Linked DNA regions of Caenorhabditis elegans. The protein of the gene in region 1 purifies or fractionates together with the protein of each later gene. This does not show direct contact. Each region holds a gene or a part of one and is shown on either strand. Other genes may lie near its edges.

The links. Proteins that work in one complex are often made in the same cells at the same time.
Region 2: the proteins of ipla-7 (region 1) and nish-1 fractionate together in Caenorhabditis elegans (co-fractionation; one large-scale study listed by BioGRID). This does not show direct contact.

Annotation. Positions count from the first base shown.
Region 1 is NC_003282.8:10,056,072-10,061,127, forward strand, and holds ipla-7 (PNPLA domain-containing protein), read right to left. Parts: upstream 3,108-5,056; 5' UTR 3,055-3,107; coding exon 2,911-3,054; intron 2,429-2,910; coding exon 2,113-2,428; intron 2,065-2,112; coding exon 1,208-2,064; intron 1,163-1,207; coding exon 1,064-1,162; 3' UTR 520-1,063; downstream 1-519.
Region 2 is NC_003282.8:10,862,518-10,867,346, reverse strand, and holds the start of nish-1 (PX domain-containing protein), read right to left. Parts: upstream 3,017-4,829; coding exon 2,918-3,016; intron 2,387-2,917; coding exon 2,102-2,386; intron 2,090-2,101; exon of another isoform or gene 1,882-2,089; coding exon of another isoform or gene 1,480-1,881; intron 1,429-1,479; coding exon of another isoform or gene 1,112-1,428; intron 993-1,111; coding exon of another isoform or gene 570-992; intron 1-569. Other genes in the region: F13E9.11 (uncharacterized protein), read left to right, coding at 570-992, 1,112-1,428, 1,480-1,881; rbm-22 (Pre-mRNA-splicing factor RBM22), read right to left, coding at 3,297-3,385, 3,436-3,576, 4,447-4,829.

The DNA of each region.
Region 1 (5,056 bases):
GAGGGCTTACAGCTTACCAGCGAACAACTCGGGCATTGCAATCCAGGCTGTTCACAACACCCTAGAACGTCGCATGCAAACTACAGTAAACGATTTCTGAAAACGTGTCCAAACTTACTTCGAATCGGTGTAAATTATGAAGAAAGTTAATGTACTCTTTCTTGATTGAATTTGAAACTAATCGATTTTTGCTTATTTTGATGTAAATTGATCAGTTCAAGAGATAAGAAATTAAAAATGGAACAAAAAGTCATGAAAAATAAATTTGGCAGTGAATTATTTTAATTTTTTTAAGAGTACATTTTAAGAGTACATTTACCTATAGTTTTATCATGTCTTGCATGAAGCTCTATGTAAATGAAACCCTAAATGTGTTGGGAAAGTTTAAAAAAAAATTCAAAGGCAATCTATCTCGACCCGATCGAGAAGTCTCATTAGGAAATTTAGCAGATGACAAAAAATTAATGTTTTTAATTAGCTGTTTAGAATCTTTCATACTGTTCGCTTTAAACTCTAAGTCAAGAGATAATAATTGTTTTTTTTTAAATATTTCTTCAAAATCAGCATAATTATATTTCATCAAGGAACAAATACACAAAAACGAAAAATTAAATTTTCACAGGGAGGAACACAAGGAAAACCAAATAAATCACATCGAGTTTCTGACGAAAAAAAGTGATAAAAATGGGATGGGAAAGGATGAGTGGACAGTGTTAAGGGAACTGATATAAGAACCCGAGAAAACTTTAGATGAATTTTCAGTGAAAGATGAGACTAGAAACGAATAAAATGAGAGGAGCAAAGTGTGCCTTTTTTGGGAAGAGAATGCCCGTTTTTAAATGGGAACTGGAAAGTCATCTAGACGTCGCAGAAAATCAAAAAATGATTATAAATTATTGAAAATGCGCCAGAAAAGTATTCAGCTTGAAACGGAAATAAAACAACTATTCACAATAAAAGTGTTAATCTTCTAATTTACATGCATTGACAGAGATGGTGGGAATGACTAGAATAAAACAAAATATGAATAAATTCAAATGAAACAATTTCTGTATTTTTCAATTTAGAGAACCGTATTGCTTCTACGCTTCCGCTCTGTTGGATCCGATTTCAATTTGTAGATCATTTCACCAAGTTGGTCGATCTCATGGACGTTTTCGGTCTGAAAATTTGAAAATGGAAGTTGGAATTAAACTTGAAGACTTACCAAATAAATAAGTGTTGTCCATATCATATCCATCAATTTTGAATCATCAATTTGATCAATCCGAACTGAAATTCCCTTCGGACTCAATCGATTGAATGGAATATTGTGAGCATGACATCTATCCTGCGCCATCTCTACAGCTGTCAAATCTTGACCAACTACTTGTTCCAAAATAAGAGTTGAAAGATGTCCAATATTCATTGCCTTTGCTCTTATACTCTTCCCACTTTTATATTTTCTTTCTGCGAGTGCTGGTTCACCAGTTCCAATTGAAAGAACACCGGCAAGATGGATCGGTTGTTGATGTTTCGAGAAACTATCATATTCTTTGAATAATACATTCAGTGGATAATTGGCAACAAAACTTCCATCAACCAACACTTTGTTTCCATATATGAAAGGTTCAAAATATGTTGGAGCAGCACTGCTTGCTCTTGCAGCTTCTCTGAATAAAACATCTTGATCCTCATTCAACGGTGCTCCAAATGGTTTTGTGAATGAATAATTTCTGAAGACATGAAGTCTTGCTGGAGCTGTGCTTATGTCCAATGCAGGGATAGTGAGACGAGTTGGGCATTCTTGGAGAGTTTGAGTTGGGAAGCAATCTCCCAATACTTTATCGATATTCTTAGTTTGAACAGCTACTTGATCTCCAAGCAGTCGTTTTACAGTACTTCCACGAAGAAAAATTTGACTTTTCATATCCCAGTATTGGAAAAAACATTCACTTATTGATATCTTATTGACCATTGAGAGAGCTAGCATACTTCCTGTTGATGTTCCAATAAACCAATCAAAAAGATTCGGAAGTGTTTCATCACCAAGAAGCCTTCGAGAGGCATATAGAAGGCATACCACTGAAGTTATATTAAATAGGAAATTTATAAGAATTTAAGAATTCTAACCTGAAACCAATCCCCTCATTCCTCCACCATCAAGACACAATGCCATAACTCCATCAACCTTTTTTGATCGATTTATTTGAATGGGTGTTCTCTCGTACATCTCCTCAAAAATGACTCCAGAAAACTCGAGGAATGATTTAAATTTCACAGCGCATTCTTCACAAACACTCCCATTGTCAATCCGATCTGCCAGTGTTTTCTCTCCAAAATCATCCTTGAAAAGTGGTGTTGGATCAGCTCCCAAAGTCAGAAGAAGGCGCATTTCAGTGATTGTTGATTGAGGAACTGACCATATTTCCAGAAGTTTTGATGTCATCTGTGAATTGATAATTCAGGCCTATGATATCACAATGCTTTATGGGAATTATTAAAGTTCACATGTGACTAATACAGTACTGATTAAACATTTTTAGAGTTTGGTCACACAAGAAACATGCTGAATATACGTCATATTTGTTGAAAAAAAAGCACAATTGTACAACCAATATCAATGCCCAGGATTTGAAGTTGCTTTTGACAATTTTCAACAAAATCTAAAGTTTTTTCCTAAACTCTTATTTAAATTTCAATTGAAAATTTTCATAGAGAGCCTGTTTTAATCAAAACTTCTGTAATTGCACATTAATAAAAAGTTATTCAATTCCTAGTTTCTTCCTAGTCAAAATGTTCTTTGATCGATTAATTTGGATCTTTGATGATTGCTATTAAATTGTGTGCACTGATAACAATTGTCTGTGTCAGCTGTAAACTGTTCTAGGTCAAAGGTCGTTTTTTTGTGAAGAGAGAATGTTCCCGTACCATTGCATTTCCCGGTGCCTGCTCAGCTTGTGCTCCTTTTTCTTTTTGTGCCTGAACTGCCGATTTGAGGAATGCAATCATATTATCCACTCTCTCCGCTTTCTTCTTTGTGCTCATCTGATGAGCACAACGAGTTGACGGCATTGTGCTGGAGCTCACCGGATTGCGGGAACCCAAGTTTCAGATGGGAGAGACTTCTAAAAAAATAAAATAAAATGTCGGTCGAAACGACGAATGAAAGAGGAAAATTCGACGAAAAATTGAAAAGAAGCTGTTTGAGTGCGTGTCTGTGAGTGCTTCATGAAAAATAAGCCGATGGAGGTGAAAAATGATAACGTTTTGATAAGGGCATTCAGGAAATTATTCATGTGAATGGCAAAGTCCAATTTGAAGAACGTTTTCTTATCAATATTTATCTCAATATTTTGGTCAAAGTTTCGAATCAATACACGTGGCAATGATAACAACTTATCTTGTTCCGTCTAGACGCATCTTAAAAATGAGTTTTTACAAGTTTGCAGTTCTTACAAAGAAAATTAATCAGTTTGAAGTTTCAATTTTTTCTGATTTTCTAACACATTGCTAATTTTAAAATTTATTCAAAAGCGAAACACATTTCCTAACACTTTACATTTTGGTCTAAAAATTTTATGTTATTTTTTAGTAATTTTGAAATCGTAATAATATTTTGTTGCTTTGACGTTTAATATTTTGTGGTGACTTGTTTTGAATTCTAATGATTTAATTTATCTTATAATTAACACATGTATTATGTTCAATTGGTAAATGTGTTACAACTCATCAAAATTTTATTTTTCTTACAATCCTAAATTGCTTAAAAGTTATAACGTCTATAATAATGGTTTTTGGAAATGTTTAAAAATTTCAAAAATATTATTTTTATCAGTCCTAGTCATATTTCAACCAAAACCAATAAATATAAAATTTGAAAAGTTCATATAAACGAGAAAACGATGAGAAAAATGGGGTCAGACTCGGAGCCGCGGCGCTCAAAAAATGATCAAGTTAGAGCGTGTTGATTAGACGAAAAAGTAGTTTAGACAACTAGAGAATGCTTAGTTACAATGAATAAATAAAAGACACAGACTAGACAGACCAATTGTCGATGCGAAAAGAGGAACTGAGTGCAAAACGGACGGGAAATGCTTTCGGAAATTGAGAGATGAGGATGAAGTCGGAAAAGAATATGAGACGTTCTTAACTGAAAAGTTGAAAAATTAAAAATTAAAAGTTATGTGAGAGAAAGAGGGTTCATCAAGAATAAGTCAATCAAAAAATCAAAACTCATACGGAGAAACCATTAAAAAATACGGAGAAATGATAAGAAACGGAAAAAAATTGACTGAAAAACTCTGGGCGCATGAGTGGAGTTGTTACAAAAATCAACGGAGAGGAACAAAAGATTTGAATTTGGCAGTAATATCTGCAATGGCATGGCTTTAAAATTTAAGTTCAAAACTTTTGAAGAACATCTTCCAACAGACATTCGATACTTAGACAACAAAAAGTTTCGATCAGAATTTTAAATCTGCTGACTGTACGTTCAACACGACAAATTTGGAACTAAAATTATATTTTTTTGAAGTAAAAAATTTCGATTTTATATTATAATAAGTTTTGTATTGACACCTAAATCAAGGTCAAGTGAAAACTAAAAAAAACCTCTGTTTAATCATTTCAACAGTAGTACTTTTGGAAATACTATCTCCATCATCAATCTTATTTTGTCTCGTAACAGATGATACAGAAGAGATCAATGACGATACATTCTCTCGAACAATGGCTACTTTGTCTGAAACTGGACGAAATATTATGAGAAACTGAGATGTCGACAAGAGAAAAAGAGAACAAACCATCCATACTTTTCAAACATTTTTTTTTTCATTTTGTTCCGTATCTAGTGATGTAAGGTCTCAAAATTCATGGAAAGTTGATAAGATGATAGATAAGTTTTTGCTTGCAAACTAAAAAAAACTCTCAGTTACTCACCTTTTGCCTCAATTTCAATGCAAATAGATCACTAAAAACTAGCGAGAAATCGACAAATATTTGTACGAAAATTGTGGTTTTTACTAGGGGTTTTGTTGAGTTGAGAGTCATATCATGGCTTATCAATTTGTGGTTT
Region 2 (4,829 bases), 810 kb from region 1:
TGTCAGAACGTAGTTAAGAAGGTCTTTAGATTGAACATCTAAATAATTCCTCAAATGTAGAACTTGAAGTTCGGATATGAACTGGATTTGTAGTACTTCATTTGAATCCAAAGTAGGACCAAATTCGAACATTCTCTACTACAAGATTTATTTTCTTTCTCTGTTTTCTTTTTATTCATCTTGCCATTCTATTGTATTCTTCCTGTCCACTGGGTTTTTTTAACGATCACCGATCCAGCCCTATCCTTGCCTTTAGTAATCCTCTTAAACCAGACTATCTCGATTTCTCGGACGACCTTTCTTTTCCTTTTTTCCGTTCCGAAAACAGTTTGAAAAATAGAGGAAAAATGCCCATGGGAAGTCGCATCCGTGCAATGCAAACAGTCTTCGCTCTTTTCAAAACTCCTTCCTTTCTTTCTTCTTTTCTCACCAAATGGCACACTTGCTCTTTCCCGGTGTCGATTCATCAATTCGCTATCATCATATTGAGTCACCAAAACCTTCGGAAGATCCCCTTCAAAATCCATGGTTTCCGCAACCGTCACCCTCTCAATCATGTCCTGTTACAGAAAATACTCGCTTGGAGTCCGGCAGAGATCCACGACATATTACTGAAGAATCAATTGAAGAAAACGGAGACGAACGAATCGCTCATTTCGAGTACTACGAAGGAGCAGAAGAATTCCCAATTAAAGTACCACCGGAGCAGACTGCTGCTCTAATCTCACAATCGAAGACTACAAATTCAGCAATGGCAGTTCTTCCTGGCCGCTGTGTGCGAGCCTTTCTTGATTCATTTGCATTAATAATTAGTCTTGCTTTAGTAGTTCTACAGTTTGGATTGATAGATTGGTACTATTTGAATGTCACTGGAGAAAATGTGTGGGCCGCTTGGATTGGACCAGACTTTGTGGTTCTACTGATACTAGGAGTACTTGGAGTATTGGCTATCAAATACAATACAGTTCAAATGGAGGAGTGCTGTTCAATTGGTAAGTTCAAATGTTTGTAAGAGTTTCTTCAGTATTCTAATCTATTTGAACTATTGTATTCAACTAGATTGACACTTTCAAAAAGTTCAAGATCTCTGATAATTAATGAAATATTTCAGACAGTCGGGTTAAATACGCTTGCTTCGCCTGGGGAGCGTACTCCCTTATTCTGATCTCAAAAATTGCCACGTGCTTCCGCATGTTCTACGAGGACATTCCTCCAACGCCGCTTGACAACAATGACAAACTTTTCGACGACTTCCTGTTCAAAGCTGGGCTTTCTCTGTCCGTTTTGATTTTCTTGTTCATCTTCGAGTCACATCACTATACCCCATTGGTTTCTGTTCGTCAAGTGTACATCTCATATCTTGTTGCTGCCATTTGCCTCGATCTTATCGATAATATCTACTTCCTAGACTTGCTTTGGCAAGCATCGGTAAGTCGAACTACAAACTACCTAGTATCTAATTCATTTACTTTTTTTCAGAAGGACAAATGGAATCTAGAACTATGGCTCGAACTGACAATCCTGATTGTTGCCTGTATCAACTTCTTCATGCCAACCTTCGCTCTCGCCAAACTTCGTTACGCTAAAGTTCCACGATTCCTGCTCGTAAGTGAGAAGCTCTGGGCATTCCTCTACGTTCTCATTGTCAATGGGCCTTTCCTCGGACTCCGTATCTACCTGTACATTGTGCTTGAAGTTCAACAACACGGAAAGAAGTTTGATCCATCACTGTTTGCGGTCAAGAATATTGCTATGATCTACATCGCTCTTCGTGAACTTTGGACACGTCTTCAATACTGGAGAATGAAACGACGTGCAGCTTTGAGTAGAAATGAGCTTTCAGCAGCTATTCACAATCATGAAGAAGAAGAGCATGAATAATAATAATAATAGTTGCCTGTCTAATTGAAAATGAGCCACTTTGCTCATTTTCAATATCCTATCCCAATGCTTTCATAAAGTTTACCTCAGTCAGTTAGATGTATATAAGTTTCACTATTTCTTCTTTATTCGCCTATCCTCTTTCTCTGCCACATTTTTTTCTATTGGAAACACCTTGGTCTCAGTTCAAATAAATTTTGATATTTTCTGCAAAACTTACATATTGATGAAAATCGAAAAACTTCGCTGTAATCAACGGAAGCGAATGCACATTCTTCTGCTTTTGATACCAAACTTCTAATTCCAAAAGAGCTCGAACATACTTCTCCAATTCAAGTCGTCGTTCTTCGATAAATTCGAGATCCTTGTTTCCCAGTCGTTTCTTTGGAGGAAGAAATGATTTCTTTCGATCTAGAAATCGATGTACATCGTAAGCGTCAAAATCACTATAACGTCGTTCAACGGTCCAAGTGTAGGTGTCAACTGTGATTTGGATACGATATACCTGAAAATTACTCAATTGCAAAAAGTTTCAATGTACTTTTATGGAACTTGTGGGATTATTTGATTTTAATGAAACTTTTAAATTATAGTTGTTCAAAAATTAGATACCAAACTTAGCTTTATGACAGTTTTCTCATCATTTTTTTCAAATTAAGAAACCATCAAATTTTTTATTTTCGGATTCTAAATCATTCTTATTACCCAGCGAATTTTTGCGATTTTTTTTGGAAAAACGTTTGTTTCTGCAAAATGTTTATCGATGTTTCGTAGTTTTTTTTTTCAATAAAAAACATATACTCAAATATAACAATAGTAAACATGTAAATTTTGACAAATTGAGAGAAGAAAATGGAAAATTCCGCTGAGACGAGTTCGAAATTACGGTATTCATTAAAGACGCACACCTTTTCGAATTTAACAAGATTTGTCGTGTTGAGACCGGGTACAGTAATTTTGACGAAAAAATCGCGAAATTTCGCCTCTGGGTTTTATTTTCATCGTTTTTTTTCTGAATTATAGTGACAACACTTACCGTATACTTTCCTTCATCAATCATTCTAAAATTCAAAATTTTCGCATTGAAATTTGCATCCATTTGAGGTGATACTGCCTGTATATTTAGTAAGGCCATCTGAAAAGATTTTCTGAAATTTCAGGAAAGTTCTTTGACAACATGAAAATAGGAAAAAATGGATTTGACCAGTCCAATAAAATGATAATATCAGAATTAGAAAGTTCGAAAAATGTTTATTGTAAGAACGAACATGAGACCGAAGAAGAATAATTAGGGAGTTTTTTCAGAAAAGAACGGAAGATTCTTTTTAAAGTTTGAACAAAACACAATAAAAATGGAAAGAAAAATTACAGAACGAGGACAGAATGAAAAGGAAAGTGATAAACTAATTGAAAATTTACTCAATAACGTCACCCTTGGCGCCAAGACGGGTTGGATCTTGACTCGGATAATAAATCGATGATGATGATGACGCACCGCTTGATTCTGGAAAATATTTTAATACTAATATTCGTCTTCAAAAAAATAAAACTGACCTCCAGCCTTCACTGGCCGTACATTTGGTACAACAAGACTTCTTGGCGCAGCGAAAGTTGGTGGCGCTGGTGGACGTGGCATTGATCCTGTGAATCTTTGTTGTGATGATGTTGAAGGGGCGAGACCATCTGGCACTGGCACTGAAAATTAAAATATTTAAGAAAATGTACATGGAAGGGAAACATGGGAATGTGGAAATAATGATTGTTGGAAGACTGGCGCCAATCCGCTTTTGAAACATGACACCTAACCTAACTGCCAACAATAGAAAACGAAATAAAGAAACATTTTTCTCTTTAGGATTGGTTGAAAAAATCTTCTTTTAGAAACAATTTTTGGTGTGTGGAAAACGATGCGATTAAAAATTGTTCCCTTGAAGAGAATTCACATCAAAATTTGTCACAACGAGAGGTTTCAAAAAGATTCAGTGCCGACCAGCAATTCTACAAAATATGCCAGTGTAGCATGTTTTCCAAATATTTTTCAAGTAAATTATGTGATCGAATATACATAAATAGAACAATATTTTCTTAATCTCTGAATCAAGGGTGTCGGTTTTTCGATTTTTTTTTCTAAAATCGACCATTTCGTTTTTTTTGTTGATATTTCGAAGAATAGCTTAAAATTTCGGTAACTGTTCTTCTTATTAGAAGAAATTTACATGTTTTCATTAACATAAACAAAATTTGATTTAAAAAAATATATTCTATGGTAAAATTTCTAAGAATTTCTATCGATTTTCGATTTTTAGTAAAATCAAAAAAAATTTCGCTTTTAGTGTTTCGAGTTTCTGAGCAATTTTTTGATGATATTATTGCTGAGAATAGCTTTTATTTTAGTTGAACAATTAAAGAAGTGCTCAAAAATTATTGGAACGTCATTGATTTTCTATATTTATTCAATAAGTTTTAATGAAAAAGATTGGGAGAACATGCCAAACTGGCGCATTTTGATTGCAAATAATCTGTTCAAAATTATGTTTCTATTGTTGAAATTGAAAAGAAACTTACAAATCGGTACTGATGGTACTGGAGTAACATAATTTGAGTTATCTGCTGCTCTCTTGGCCTGTGGTTCTCCCCATCTAATCGTCAATCTTTTTCCTTTGATAAAAGTCTTGTTGAATGATCTTTCAGCTGCACGTTCGGCAGCTTCACGAGTTGTAAACTCAATAAATGCACATCCTTTCTCTGTTAGCACACGAAGACAACGAATATCTCCATATTGATAAAAGAAATCATTCAAATCTTTTTCGGTAACTTGCTGAGCTCCAGACGGACCCAGATTTCCAATGTACAATGTAGTGATAGTAGTGTCTGCAGGTGGAGAAAGAGTCGGAGCAGCAGCTGCACGATTGAGAATCTTCTCAGCGACTGGATCATTCGTTCCGTAA